Linked DNA regions of Saccharomyces cerevisiae S288C. The protein of the gene in region 1 interacts with the protein of each later gene in a biochemical or structural test. Each region holds a gene or a part of one and is shown in the gene's direction. Other genes may lie near its edges.

The links. The genes of interacting proteins can lie anywhere in the genome.
Region 2: the proteins of MCM10 (region 1) and CDC45 form a complex in vitro, tested with the Saccharomyces cerevisiae proteins (4 studies listed by BioGRID).
Region 3: the proteins of MCM10 (region 1) and MCM2 form a complex in vitro, tested with the Saccharomyces cerevisiae proteins (5 studies listed by BioGRID).

The regions. Positions count from the first base shown.
Region 1 is NC_001141.2:59,855-64,890, reverse strand, and holds MCM10 (Mcm10p), read left to right. Parts: upstream 1-2,162; coding exon 2,163-3,878; downstream 3,879-5,036. Other genes in the region: MLP2 (Mlp2p), read left to right, coding at 1-1,863; ESL1 (Esl1p), read left to right, coding at 4,197-5,036. UniProt on the Saccharomyces cerevisiae protein: Required for DNA synthesis. Required for entry into or completion of S phase. Involved in DNA replication and seems to participate in the activation of the pre-replication complex (pre-RC) and in transcription elongation.
Region 2 is NC_001144.5:342,922-347,686, reverse strand, and holds CDC45 (DNA replication initiation factor CDC45), read left to right. Parts: upstream 1-1,745; coding exon 1,746-3,698; downstream 3,699-4,765. Other genes in the region: tRNA splicing endonuclease subunit SEN2, read left to right, coding at 1-640; LCL2 (Lcl2p), read right to left, coding at 707-1,102; APC9 (anaphase promoting complex subunit 9), read left to right, coding at 3,920-4,717. UniProt on the Saccharomyces cerevisiae protein: Required for initiation of chromosomal DNA replication. Acts at the origin of replication. Also has a role in minichromosome maintenance.
Region 3 is NC_001134.8:173,853-179,375, reverse strand, and holds MCM2 (MCM DNA helicase complex subunit MCM2), read left to right. Parts: upstream 1-1,849; coding exon 1,850-4,456; downstream 4,457-5,523. Other genes in the region: ATP-dependent Lon protease PIM1, read left to right, coding at 1-1,502; NCL1 (tRNA (cytosine-C5-)-methyltransferase), read right to left, coding at 4,788-5,523. UniProt on the Saccharomyces cerevisiae protein: Acts as a component of the MCM2-7 complex (MCM complex) which is the putative replicative helicase essential for 'once per cell cycle' DNA replication initiation and elongation in eukaryotic cells.

The DNA.
Region 1 (5,036 bases):
TATGAAAGAGAATTGATATCTAATATTGAACAGACGGAATCCTTGCGTGTTGAAAATTCGGTATTGATTGAAAAGGTTGATGACACAGCAGCAAATAATGGCGATAAAGATCATTTGAAGCTAGTTTCTTTGTTTTCAAACTTACGTCATGAAAGAAATTCTTTAGAGACGAAGTTAACCACCTGTAAGAGAGAATTGGCATTCGTTAAACAAAAGAACGATAGTTTAGAAAAAACGATAAATGACCTGCAACGAACCCAGACTTTATCGGAGAAGGAATACCAATGCTCTGCAGTTATTATTGACGAATTCAAGGATATCACGAAAGAAGTTACTCAAGTTAACATTTTAAAAGAGAATAATGCCATCTTACAAAAGAGTCTCAAAAACGTAACCGAAAAAAACAGGGAAATTTATAAACAATTAAATGATAGGCAAGAAGAAATTTCTCGATTACAGCGTGATCTCATACAAACAAAAGAACAAGTTTCGATAAATTCTAACAAAATTTTAGTATATGAAAGTGAAATGGAGCAATGTAAACAGAGGTACCAGGACTTATCTCAACAACAAAAAGATGCCCAAAAAAAAGACATTGAAAAGCTAACTAATGAGATTAGTGATTTGAAGGGAAAACTTTCAAGCGCTGAGAACGCAAACGCTGACTTGGAAAATAAATTCAATAGGCTAAAGAAGCAGGCTCATGAAAAATTGGACGCATCTAAGAAACAACAAGCTGCTTTAACTAACGAACTCAACGAATTAAAAGCAATTAAAGACAAATTAGAACAAGATCTACACTTTGAAAACGCTAAAGTTATTGATCTAGATACGAAGCTCAAAGCACATGAACTCCAATCAGAAGACGTCTCGAGAGATCACGAAAAGGACACTTATCGGACATTAATGGAGGAAATTGAATCACTCAAAAAGGAGTTACAAATTTTCAAAACTGCGAATAGCTCATCTGATGCATTTGAGAAATTGAAAGTTAACATGGAGAAAGAAAAGGACAGAATTATTGACGAAAGAACGAAGGAATTTGAAAAAAAATTACAAGAGACCTTAAATAAGAGTACAAGCTCAGAAGCAGAATACAGTAAAGATATCGAAACATTGAAAAAGGAATGGCTAAAGGAATATGAAGATGAAACGTTAAGGAGAATTAAGGAAGCAGAAGAGAATTTAAAGAAAAGAATAAGGTTACCAAGCGAGGAAAGGATACAAAAGATCATTAGTAAGCGTAAAGAAGAATTAGAAGAAGAATTTCGAAAGAAATTGAAAGAAAACGCGGGAAGCTTAACGTTTCTTGATAACAAAGGTAGCGGGGAAGATGCCGAAGAAGAATTATGGAACAGTCCATCGAAGGGGAATTCTGAGAGGCCGTCGGCTGTCGCTGGCTTTATAAATCAAAAAAACCTTAAACCTCAAGAACAATTGAAGAATGTGAAGAATGACGTTTCCTTCAATGACAGCCAGTCAATGGTTACAAATAAAGAAAATAATATCGTGGATAGTAGCGCTGCTGGTAACAAGGCCATTCCAACCTTTAGTTTTGGTAAGCCATTCTTCTCCTCTAATACATCATCTCTTCAAAGTTTTCAGAACCCATTCACAGCATCCCAATCTAATATCAATACGAATGCCCCCCTACGTACACTCAATATTCAACCTGAAGTTGCAGTCAAAGCGGCGATTAACTTTTCCAACGTAACCGATCTAACTAACAATAGCACCGATGGAGCAAAAATAACAGAAATTGGAAGTACATCTAAACGGCCAATTGAGAGCGGTACATCTTCTGATCCAGACACCAAAAAGGTTAAAGAGAGTCCAGCAAATGATCAAGCTTCCAACGAGTGATGTAATATTAAACAATGTAATTATATAAATATGAAACATCTACATATTTTAAATGTCACTAATGTCATTACAGAGGACATAAAGTGATTTATGACACATCCGTACTAGTAGTTAAGTATGAACAAATTTTGGGTTTATTTGCCATTTTTTTTCACGCGGGTTTCTTGGATGCGCAAACCCACCTTTTCTAACACCACTAAGAAATATCAACTTTATAGGCCATCGAAGATAAAGGAACGTAAGTTTGTCAATTCAACCTCACATTTTCAACGCACATTAAGCACTTGGTTCGTGGAGAAATGAATGATCCTCGTGAAATTTTAGCGGTTGATCCGTACAATAATATTACTTCTGATGAAGAGGATGAGCAAGCCATCGCGAGAGAACTTGAATTTATGGAACGAAAGAGGCAGGCCTTAGTGGAACGATTAAAAAGAAAGCAAGAATTTAAGAAACCCCAGGATCCTAATTTTGAAGCCATCGAGGTACCTCAATCTCCTACCAAAAACCGTGTGAAAGTGGGGTCTCATAATGCTACACAACAAGGCACAAAATTCGAAGGTTCGAATATTAATGAAGTAAGGTTATCTCAATTACAGCAGCAACCAAAACCACCAGCTAGTACAACCACATACTTTATGGAGAAATTTCAAAACGCAAAGAAGAACGAAGATAAACAAATTGCCAAGTTTGAAAGCATGATGAATGCAAGAGTACATACGTTCAGTACCGATGAGAAGAAATATGTGCCGATAATCACAAACGAATTAGAAAGCTTTTCAAATCTTTGGGTTAAAAAGAGGTACATACCTGAAGATGACTTAAAACGGGCTTTGCATGAGATCAAAATCCTTCGGTTGGGCAAACTTTTTGCTAAAATTCGCCCACCTAAATTTCAAGAGCCTGAATACGCCAACTGGGCCACCGTAGGCCTCATTAGCCACAAATCGGACATCAAATTTACATCATCTGAAAAGCCAGTCAAATTCTTCATGTTCACCATAACGGACTTTCAGCATACACTAGATGTTTATATCTTCGGGAAAAAGGGTGTAGAAAGATATTATAATCTTCGCCTGGGTGATGTGATAGCAATATTAAACCCAGAAGTACTACCATGGAGACCCTCAGGGCGAGGAAATTTTATCAAATCCTTCAACCTTCGAATTAGTCATGACTTCAAATGTATCCTGGAGATAGGTTCAAGTAGAGATTTAGGTTGGTGTCCCATAGTGAATAAAAAGACTCACAAAAAATGTGGCTCTCCCATTAACATATCTCTTCATAAGTGTTGCGATTACCATAGAGAAGTGCAATTTCGTGGAACAAGTGCTAAAAGAATTGAATTAAATGGTGGGTACGCCTTGGGCGCGCCTACGAAAGTGGACTCTCAACCAAGCCTATATAAGGCCAAAGGGGAAAACGGGTTTAATATAATCAAAGGTACTCGTAAGCGCCTGTCAGAAGAGGAGGAAAGACTTAAAAAGAGCTCTCACAATTTTACGAATAGTAATTCTGCCAAAGCATTTTTCGACGAGAAATTTCAGAATCCAGATATGCTGGCAAACTTAGACAATAAAAGAAGGAAAATAATAGAAACTAAGAAATCGACAGCACTGAGCCGCGAACTAGGCAAAATTATGAGAAGGAGGGAATCCAGCGGATTAGAAGATAAGAGCGTCGGAGAGCGACAGAAAATGAAACGAACCACAGAAAGTGCCCTCCAGACAGGGCTTATCCAACGCCTAGGATTCGATCCCACTCATGGAAAAATTTCCCAAGTACTCAAGTCTTCTGTATCAGGGAGCGAACCTAAGAACAACTTACTCGGTAAAAAAAAAACTGTTATAAACGATCTCTTGCATTACAAGAAGGAAAAAGTCATTCTCGCACCTTCAAAGAACGAATGGTTCAAGAAAAGAAGCCATCGCGAAGAAGTTTGGCAAAAACATTTCGGATCCAAGGAAACTAAAGAAACTTCTGACGGTAGTGCCAGCGATCTTGAGATAATATAAATAAGTATTGGTGTGCTTTTCAGGGCCCCAAAATGGTATTACTTTTGATGGACAATGGCGCGGGTAATGATTGAAAAATTATGATGAAAAATTGAGTGATTTTGGTTGCAATATAGGGAATCAATCCTTAAAGTGAGAAAGAACAGAAGAGAACATCTTGTGAGACACAAAACGCTCCGAAAACATCTCCCTCTTGGGCGCATCCTTCATTCTGTACTCTTTACTTCACTTTACAGTCGTTTTTGGCCGATCTTTGGCAGCATCTAACGTTATTTTTAGGTTCAATACATAACAACAAGACCACGGATATCGCATAATATGGTTGACCTAATGGTGCCGGCGAATGATGACCCTAGTAATGAAACTGATTATTCTAGATCCAACAACAACCACACTCATATTGTGAGCGATATGCGCCCGACCTCCGCCGCATTTCTTCATCAAAAGCGACATAGTTCTTCGTCGCACAATGATACACCAGAGTCGTCGTTCGCTAAAAGAAGGGTGCCTGGAATTGTAGATCCCGTAGGGAAAGGATTTATAGATGGAATAACTAATAGCCAGATCTCTGCACAAAACACACCCTCCAAAACTGATGATGCATCTAGAAGACCGAGCATCTCTCGCAAAGTTATGGAATCGACACCACAAGTTAAGACCAGTTCTATTCCAACAATGGATGTTCCTAAATCTCCATATTATGTGAATAGAACTATGCTTGCTCGAAATATGAAGGTTGTTTCTAGAGACACTTATGAAGATAACGCAAATCCACAAATGAGAGCTGACGAGCCATTAGTCGCTTCAAATGGTATTTATAGCAATTCGCAACCCCAAAGCCAAGTAACTTTATCCGATATTAGAAGAGCTCCTGTAGTTGCTGCTTCACCCCCGCCGATGATAAGGCAACTTCCTTCGGCGCAGCCAAATCAGACGTTTATTAAAAAACTGCAGGAAATTTATAAAATCATAGTGGTGCAGGAAACCGAGTTACAACAAAGATGCCTTTATTTAACCACCTCTCAAACCACAGAACTAAAAAGTTTGTGGGCAATATACAGACTGAACACAGAACTGATCAAAAATTACATCAATTTCATCATCACTGCATTATTAACTACACAACCTATAAACGACTTGATTATGGGCCAAGAAATT
Region 2 (4,765 bases), on another chromosome or scaffold:
CCTTGAGAAACAACGAGAATCATTAAGAAAATTTAAACTAAAACAAACAGAAGACGTGGGCATCGTTGCACAACAGCAAGACATTTCCGAATCAAATTTAAGAGATGAAGACAACAATCTTCTTGATGAGAACGGTGATCTTTTGCCACTAGAGTCACTAGAACTAATGCCAGTGGAAGCTATGTTTTTAACTTTTGCACTTCCTGTTCTTGACATATCTCCCGCGTGCCTGGCAGGGAAACTGTTTCAATTCGATGCCAAATATAAAGATATTCACTCCTTTGTCAGATCATACGTTATATACCATCACTACAGATCACACGGTTGGTGCGTAAGATCTGGTATAAAATTCGGCTGCGATTATTTATTATATAAGAGAGGGCCACCATTTCAACACGCTGAATTTTGTGTTATGGGTCTTGACCACGACGTCTCTAAAGATTATACGTGGTATTCTAGCATAGCCCGTGTTGTGGGCGGCGCAAAGAAGACGTTTGTGTTATGCTACGTGGAGAGACTAATCTCGGAACAGGAGGCGATAGCACTATGGAAATCAAACAACTTTACTAAATTGTTCAATAGTTTTCAAGTTGGTGAAGTATTGTATAAGAGATGGGTTCCCGGAAGAAATAGAGACTAGAATATCAATGAGAAGATAAATCCTTCGTATGTATATATGTATGTGTATGTATTTTTTATACAGATTTCAATGGTTTTTGTAAGCATCTGATACCCATCCACAATCCCTAAACCCCTTGTTCTTTGCTTTGGGGCCCTTGACAGGGTCATCATATATTGCTCTAAACTTTTCATTGTGTGTGGCTGGTTTGGATATGCAAACAAATTTATTATCAGGAAGGACACATTTCAACTGAGATTTAGGGAAGGGACAAGGACAGTCTTTCTGCTGTGCAACGCACGTTAGGGTGTCCGGACACAAATACCCATCACAAGGGTTATTTAAAACTTGATCTTCATATGATTGTTGCTGTTGCTGTTGCTGTTGCTGATGATGACCGAAATTGAAGAAGGCATTCACTCCAGTGCTGCCAAAAATAAACAATGCAAAGATGAGAACGATACTCCAGCGACTTTGACTCATACTACAGTAAAATTTGGTCGTTTTTTGCCTGGCAAACCATGCCTATTTTTCGTCATTAAAGGTCTTCTGAGCTTTCATCAAAATTATCTCTATAATTATAAAGGACAGCTCAGAGCCACACCCAAACATCTGCAAAGGTAAAGGCCATCTTTCATCTCACATTGCCTAACAAGAAAGTCACATTGCAATTGTTTCGAGAAGAAAACATTAATTCAATTACGTGGTTCCCATGCGTCTGTGTTAAGCGTCAATTTATCATTTGACGAACTCGTTGCAACCACAAACAAAGCAAGGGCCGCATTTATCAAAGGAAAACCAACCAAAAGCATAAATAAACGAGATTTTTATTATGAAAAAGCCATGCGAATCCTACTAGAATAAATTCAAAGTGAAGACATTTAGTCAATTCGATCTTCTCTCTCTTGCTTTAACTAGTCGTAAAACCTAATAAGTTTCATTCACGACGCGTATTTTTTTTTCAACATATCATCTAACGCGTTTTAAGAAATTTCAGTAAATAATGAAGCTGTAGTAATGCCAACAATCCATTGTGGCTACTTTATACAACGCACTATAGAGCAATAAAAGTGTAGCAATAAACACTAGAGAGAAGGCACATAATAACAAGAATATACTCTCGCACATGTATTATGGAATCAGCCAGTTTAGCGAAGCCTACAACAAAATCTTAAGGAATTCATCGTCTCATTCATCATGTCAATTGGTCATTTTCGTTTCTTGTCTTAACATCGATGCGCTGTGTGCGACGAAGATGTTGTCACTATTATTCAAAAAACAATTGGTACAATCTCAAATAGTACCGATATTTGGGTACTCTGAATTACGACGCCACTATTCTCAATTGGATGACAATATAAATAGTCTGCTATTAGTAGGGTTTGGAGGCGTTATTGATCTGGAGGCTTTCTTAGAAATCGATCCCCAAGAGTATGTTATCGATACAGATGAAAAGTCGGGGGAACAAAGTTTCAGGAGAGACATCTACGTGTTGGATGCTCATAGACCGTGGAATCTCGACAATATATTTGGATCACAAATCATCCAATGTTTTGACGACGGTACGGTGGATGACACATTAGGCGAACAAAAAGAAGCATACTATAAATTGCTTGAACTGGACGAGGAGAGTGGTGACGATGAGCTCTCAGGTGACGAGAACGATAATAATGGGGGTGACGATGAGGCAACTGATGCCGATGAAGTCACAGACGAGGACGAAGAAGACGAAGATGAGACAATATCTAATAAAAGAGGTAATTCTTCAATAGGACCGAATGATCTCTCAAAAAGAAAGCAACGAAAGAAGCAAATCCATGAATATGAAGGTGTTTTGGAGGAATACTATTCTCAAGGCACAACAGTGGTTAACTCGATATCTGCACAAATCTATTCATTATTGTCTGCTATCGGAGAAACAAATCTTTCAAACCTGTGGTTGAATATACTTGGTACGACCTCGTTAGATATAGCATATGCTCAAGTTTACAATCGATTATACCCCTTATTGCAAGATGAAGTGAAGCGTCTCACACCAAGCAGTAGAAACTCAGTAAAGACCCCTGATACATTGACGTTAAACATCCAACCGGATTACTACCTTTTCTTACTGAGGCATTCTTCATTGTACGACAGTTTTTATTATTCTAACTATGTCAATGCCAAACTATCCCTATGGAATGAAAATGGGAAAAAGAGATTGCATAAGATGTTTGCTAGAATGGGTATACCATTAAGTACTGCACAAGAAACATGGTTATACATGGATCATTCTATTAAGAGAGAACTTGGGATAATATTTGACAAAAATTTGGATCGTTATGGGTTGCAAGATATAATTAGAGATGGGTTTGTTAGAACTCTTGGATATCGTGGGTCCATAAGTGCCAGTGAATTTGTCGAAGCACTAACAGCTCTTTTGGAAGTAGGTAATTCAACTGATAAGGATAGTGTGAAAATAAATAATGACAATAATGACGATACAGATGGAGAGGAAGAAGAAGATAACAGCGCTCAAAAATTGACGAATTTGAGAAAAAGATGGGTTTCGAATTTTTGGCTCAGTTGGGATGCTCTAGATGACAGAAAGGTGGAACTATTAAACCGTGGCATTCAACTAGCACAAGACTTACAGAGAGCAATTTTTAATACCGGGGTTGCTATATTGGAGAAGAAATTAATCAAGCATTTAAGAATTTATAGATTATGCGTCTTACAAGACGGACCCGATTTAGACTTGTACAGAAACCCATTGACGTTATTAAGATTAGGAAATTGGCTCATAGAATGCTGTGCGGAATCTGAAGACAAGCAATTGTTGCCCATGGTGCTTGCCAGCATAGATGAAAATACGGACACTTACTTGGTTGCTGGGTTAACACCTAGGTATCCTCGCGGACTAGACACGATACACACAAAAAAACCTATTTTGAATAATTTCAGCATGGCGTTTCAACAAATAACTGCAGAAACGGATGCTAAAGTGAGAATAGATAATTTTGAAAGTTCCATAATTGAAATACGTCGTGAAGATCTTTCACCATTCCTGGAGAAGCTGACCTTGAGTGGATTGTTATAATCAAATTTATATTATTTAGTCGTACATATATACCAGCATATGAATATAAAATCTAAGCTTTTTCAAGCTTTTAAGTCCAACTTTTCTATAATAATACCATATTTTGTGCGCGGCTCTTGACAAAACAAAAAAAAAAACCTAAATAAAAGGAAATTAAGAACAGGGAACTAGGTTTGGAAGGACAAATTCAGGAAGGAAAGAAATAGCTGTGACAAAGTAAGATGAACCAAAATGGTGATAAGAACGAAGGCAAGTTGTTTCAACTACCGTCATTGCCGCCCTGGAAAACACCAAGGTTCAACAAAGCCAACTTTAACAATTTTACCACACCGCTACGGAAAAGGTCGACAAGGGTAATAAATGATGATTCGATGCCCATAACAGGCGAAGTACTAGAGGAGAGGACTGCAGATGATCTCTATGGGATAAATATGGACGTAGACGAAGTCGACTATCTGAATACTTTGAGCCACATCGAGGAAGAAAAGCAATACGATTATTCACCGTTTTGTGAGCGCAATACGCTAAGGGAAAGTAGAATTGACAGTTTTTTGAAAGCCGAAAGGGCAGCACATTGTCTTGTGTTTCATAAGGTGGGCCATCTAGACGGCATAGACAGCTATCGACCCGATATTGACATCATGTGCGGCGAAGAGGCTAATAAATATGACAGTGCGAATCCGGAGGGCAATGGTTCAATGTTGTTAGAGAGTGTACCTGGATGCAACAAAGAAGACCTGGAGAGGTTATCAAGGCGAGAATTTGTAACAAATTCGAAACCTAATATGAGACGGTTGGATGACATAATAAATCATGAAACGAACGCCTTAAAAAGTTTCTGGAACGACTCAGGATTAGTCAATTCACTCCAAAGTCATCATTTGCATGAAGAGTACCTTCTTTTGCAAGAAGAATTAAAGAATGTGTACAAGATTAAATGCCATGACAGAGTGCCAATAGAAAGTCTACGCGATAAGTGCAGAAGACACTATAGCAACGAGGATAGTTCGTTTCTCTGACAGAGGCAATGCCTTTTTTGCTTCACGTGTATATATATCAGTTGATAT
Region 3 (5,523 bases), on another chromosome or scaffold:
CAGGTGTTGGTAAAACGTCCATAGGTAAATCTATCGCTAGAGCTCTTAACAGGAAATTCTTCCGATTTTCTGTAGGCGGTATGACGGACGTGGCAGAAATAAAAGGTCATAGGAGAACGTATATTGGTGCCTTACCTGGCAGAGTAGTTCAAGCATTAAAGAAGTGCCAAACTCAAAATCCTTTGATTTTGATAGATGAAATCGATAAGATTGGACACGGCGGCATACACGGCGATCCGTCCGCGGCATTGTTAGAAGTATTGGACCCTGAACAAAACAACAGCTTCTTGGATAACTACTTGGATATTCCTATTGACTTATCAAAAGTGCTTTTCGTTTGCACTGCTAACTCTTTGGAAACTATTCCAAGACCTTTACTGGATCGTATGGAAGTCATTGAGTTGACAGGATATGTTGCTGAAGACAAGGTTAAGATTGCCGAGCAGTATTTAGTTCCAAGTGCCAAGAAAAGCGCTGGTCTAGAAAACTCTCATGTTGATATGACAGAAGATGCAATAACAGCGTTAATGAAGTACTACTGTAGAGAAAGTGGTGTAAGGAATTTGAAAAAACACATCGAGAAAATATACCGTAAAGCAGCCCTACAAGTGGTAAAGAAGTTGAGTATTGAAGATTCCCCAACGTCATCAGCCGACAGCAAGCCTAAAGAAAGCGTTTCTTCCGAAGAAAAGGCGGAAAATAACGCCAAAAGCTCATCGGAGAAGACTAAGGACAATAATTCGGAAAAGACAAGCGATGACATTGAAGCCTTAAAGACCTCTGAAAAGATCAATGTTTCCATATCCCAGAAAAACCTAAAAGATTACGTTGGGCCTCCAGTCTACACTACAGACCGGTTATACGAAACAACTCCACCAGGGGTAGTTATGGGGTTGGCGTGGACTAATATGGGAGGTTGCTCACTTTATGTAGAATCTGTCCTTGAACAACCTTTACACAACTGCAAGCATCCAACATTTGAAAGGACCGGGCAACTGGGAGATGTTATGAAGGAATCATCAAGGCTTGCTTATTCATTCGCCAAGATGTATTTAGCACAAAAATTCCCTGAGAACAGATTTTTTGAAAAGGCGTCTATCCACTTGCATTGTCCTGAAGGTGCTACCCCTAAAGATGGTCCATCTGCAGGTGTCACTATGGCCACTTCCTTCCTTTCCCTAGCATTGAATAAGTCGATTGACCCAACGGTTGCGATGACCGGTGAATTGACACTTACCGGTAAAGTTTTACGTATCGGTGGGTTGAGAGAAAAAGCTGTGGCCGCTAAAAGATCTGGTGCCAAGACTATTATTTTCCCTAAAGATAACTTAAATGATTGGGAGGAACTTCCAGACAATGTAAAGGAAGGGTTGGAACCTTTAGCTGCTGATTGGTATAATGATATATTCCAAAAATTATTCAAGGATGTGAATACGAAAGAAGGTAATTCAGTATGGAAGGCTGAATTTGAGATTTTGGATGCTAAAAAGGAAAAGGACTAACTTTTCATCTAAATGGATTAAATACCTGTTTAAACATTCTGTAAATATTTAAACATAAACATCAATTTTATTACACAATACTAAATTCTTTCTTTTCTTCGTGAAGTATGTATGTGGGAAACCCAAGATGGCGGAATCGCGTGTAATATTATTTATCATATGCCTTTTTTAGGAAATCTAATTACTTACCGAAGAAAATAGGACAACGAAAAATTTCGAGAAACGAAACCAGAAAGTAAATGGTGAATATCCTATAATCTACACATTTTGGTACAGTTTACTTAATAATACTCCACACACCTCTTTGCCTCTTTTCTAAGAAGTATAACACAACTACAATATAAGTGATGTCTGATAATAGAAGACGTAGACGTGAGGAAGATGATTCGGACTCAGAAAATGAGCTACCGCCATCCTCACCTCAGCAACATTTTAGAGGGGGGATGAACCCAGTTTCATCACCTATTGGTTCTCCAGATATGATTAACCCTGAAGGTGACGATAATGAAGTTGACGATGTACCAGATATTGATGAAGTTGAAGAACAAATGAACGAAGTAGATTTGATGGACGATAATATGTATGAGGATTATGCGGCTGATCATAATAGAGATAGATATGATCCAGATCAAGTTGACGACAGGGAACAACAAGAACTATCTTTAAGCGAACGTCGCCGCATTGATGCTCAACTAAATGAAAGAGATAGGCTATTGAGAAATGTTGCCTACATAGATGACGAGGACGAAGAACAAGAAGGTGCAGCGCAACTTGATGAAATGGGCCTTCCTGTGCAAAGACGAAGAAGGAGAAGGCAGTATGAGGACTTAGAGAATAGTGATGACGATCTATTGAGTGACATGGACATTGACCCATTAAGAGAAGAACTTACTTTAGAATCTCTGAGTAACGTTAAGGCTAACAGTTACTCGGAATGGATAACACAACCTAATGTCTCAAGAACTATTGCCAGAGAGTTAAAATCATTCCTGCTGGAATATACAGATGAAACGGGTCGTTCTGTATATGGTGCACGTATTAGAACATTAGGTGAAATGAATTCTGAATCTTTGGAGGTTAATTATAGACACTTAGCGGAGTCCAAAGCCATCCTGGCACTATTTTTAGCTAAATGTCCAGAAGAAATGTTGAAAATATTCGATCTCGTGGCTATGGAGGCAACAGAATTGCATTACCCAGATTATGCCCGTATTCACTCCGAAATTCACGTAAGAATCTCTGATTTTCCAACAATATACAGTTTACGTGAATTGCGTGAGTCTAATTTGTCCTCTCTAGTACGCGTCACTGGGGTGGTGACAAGAAGAACAGGAGTCTTCCCTCAATTAAAATATGTCAAATTCAATTGTTTGAAATGTGGCTCCATTTTGGGCCCATTTTTTCAAGATTCTAATGAAGAAATTAGAATCTCATTCTGTACAAACTGCAAATCAAAAGGTCCCTTTAGAGTCAATGGAGAAAAAACTGTGTACCGAAATTATCAAAGGGTTACGCTCCAGGAAGCTCCCGGAACCGTTCCTCCAGGCCGTCTACCAAGACATAGAGAAGTCATTTTGTTGGCGGATTTGGTAGATGTATCCAAGCCAGGTGAAGAGGTAGAAGTTACCGGCATCTACAAAAATAACTACGATGGTAACTTGAATGCAAAGAACGGATTCCCCGTTTTTGCAACAATTATCGAGGCAAATTCTATAAAAAGAAGAGAGGGCAATACAGCTAACGAAGGCGAAGAAGGGTTGGATGTTTTCAGTTGGACTGAAGAAGAAGAACGTGAATTTAGAAAGATTTCTAGGGATCGTGGTATAATTGATAAAATTATATCATCGATGGCACCGTCTATCTATGGTCATAGAGATATTAAAACTGCAGTCGCGTGCTCATTATTTGGAGGTGTTCCAAAAAACGTCAATGGAAAACATTCTATTCGTGGTGATATCAATGTGTTATTATTAGGTGATCCAGGTACTGCCAAATCTCAAATCTTAAAATACGTCGAGAAAACAGCGCATAGAGCGGTCTTTGCAACTGGTCAGGGTGCTTCGGCTGTCGGTCTGACAGCATCCGTCAGAAAAGATCCTATTACTAAAGAATGGACCTTAGAAGGGGGGGCGCTAGTATTGGCTGATAAGGGTGTTTGTTTAATTGATGAATTCGATAAGATGAACGATCAGGATCGTACATCTATTCATGAGGCTATGGAACAGCAAAGTATTTCCATTTCCAAGGCCGGTATTGTTACTACATTACAAGCGCGCTGCTCAATTATTGCTGCGGCAAATCCTAATGGTGGTAGATATAATTCAACCTTGCCTTTAGCTCAGAATGTTAGTTTGACCGAGCCTATTCTGTCTAGATTTGATATTTTATGTGTTGTCAGAGACCTTGTTGATGAAGAGGCAGACGAAAGATTGGCCACATTTGTTGTCGATTCTCATGTAAGATCTCATCCAGAAAACGATGAAGATCGAGAAGGCGAAGAGCTTAAAAATAATGGCGAATCGGCGATAGAACAAGGAGAAGATGAAATAAATGAGCAGCTTAATGCAAGGCAAAGAAGACTTCAAAGACAAAGGAAGAAGGAGGAAGAGATCTCGCCTATTCCACAGGAATTATTGATGAAATATATTCACTATGCGAGGACAAAAATATACCCTAAATTGCATCAGATGGATATGGATAAGGTTAGCAGGGTATATGCGGATTTGAGAAGAGAAAGTATTTCTACAGGTTCGTTTCCAATCACAGTTCGTCATTTAGAATCTATTCTAAGAATTGCAGAATCTTTTGCTAAAATGAGATTATCTGAATTTGTGTCTTCTTATGATTTGGATAGAGCTATCAAAGTTGTAGTTGATTCCTTTGTTGATGCCCAAAAAGTCAGTGTTCGCCGCCAACTCCGCAGGTCTTTCGCAATTTATACCTTGGGTCACTAAAACTTTGTTATTCCTACGAATATCTGGATATGAAGATAAAAAATTCTCTGTCTCAATCCATGTATTGGCAATCCTATTTTCAATATACAAGTTTCCTTTATTTTTTGTATAATTTTTATACACTGTATCTTTAATTTCAATTCAACTAAATACTCAAGATCTAGTCAAAAGTGCATTATTTACTATCCAAAAAAAAAAAAAAAAATGAAGTAAAAAAGAAGTAACAAGACCGAATAAAAAAGGCTCATTACTGAAGTATTATATTCTTATTTTTGCCTTTTAATAATATACATTTACTTTACAGTGGAGGGGATAAGAAACATGATAACTATCAATTAGCAGCGCTAGGAGCTTCAGTAGAGGTTCCGGTAGTAGTTTCTGCGGGAGATTCAGTCGTTTCTTTTTCTTTTTCTTTTTCTTCAGCGCTTGGAGTAGCCTTGGCATTCGCATCAATACCAAAGATCCTATATAATAGCTCATGAGTATCTTCTTTACAAACCATCAAATTGATACACTTGTTGCCTTTCCACACAGGCAAGAATAAGTTTTCTTTGGCAGGGTCATTTCTTGACACATCAATAAAGGCGCAACCAGAGCTTAATTTTGTCATCTTTTCAACAAAATCATTATCGATGTTCTTCGAACGAATGTCGTCAAAGTTAGGGAAAGATTCGATTAACAAGTGTTTTAACATCTCTAAATTAGCTTCAACAATTCTATTAGATTTCATATGGTGTTTCATTATTGGCAATGATTCACTTTGGATTCTCCATGAACATTCGATATCACTTCTTTGAGAGACAAACAATTTTACACCAGAATAAATAATCTTCAACCTATCGTCATTCGCTTGAATAACATCCTTCAATGCTGGACACACAGTGTAAACCACTCTTGTTGGTTCACCAGTGGCGTTACGCACTAAACAAGTGTTTCTGTCGAAAATATTATCGATGCCGTAGAAATCCCAACAAACTTTTAAAGCTTCGTGCTGTGGATCAACGAAAACAAAAGGCTCTTCGTTCGCGTCACGTGGTAGTCTTTCTTTCTTTTGGACTTCTTCTACC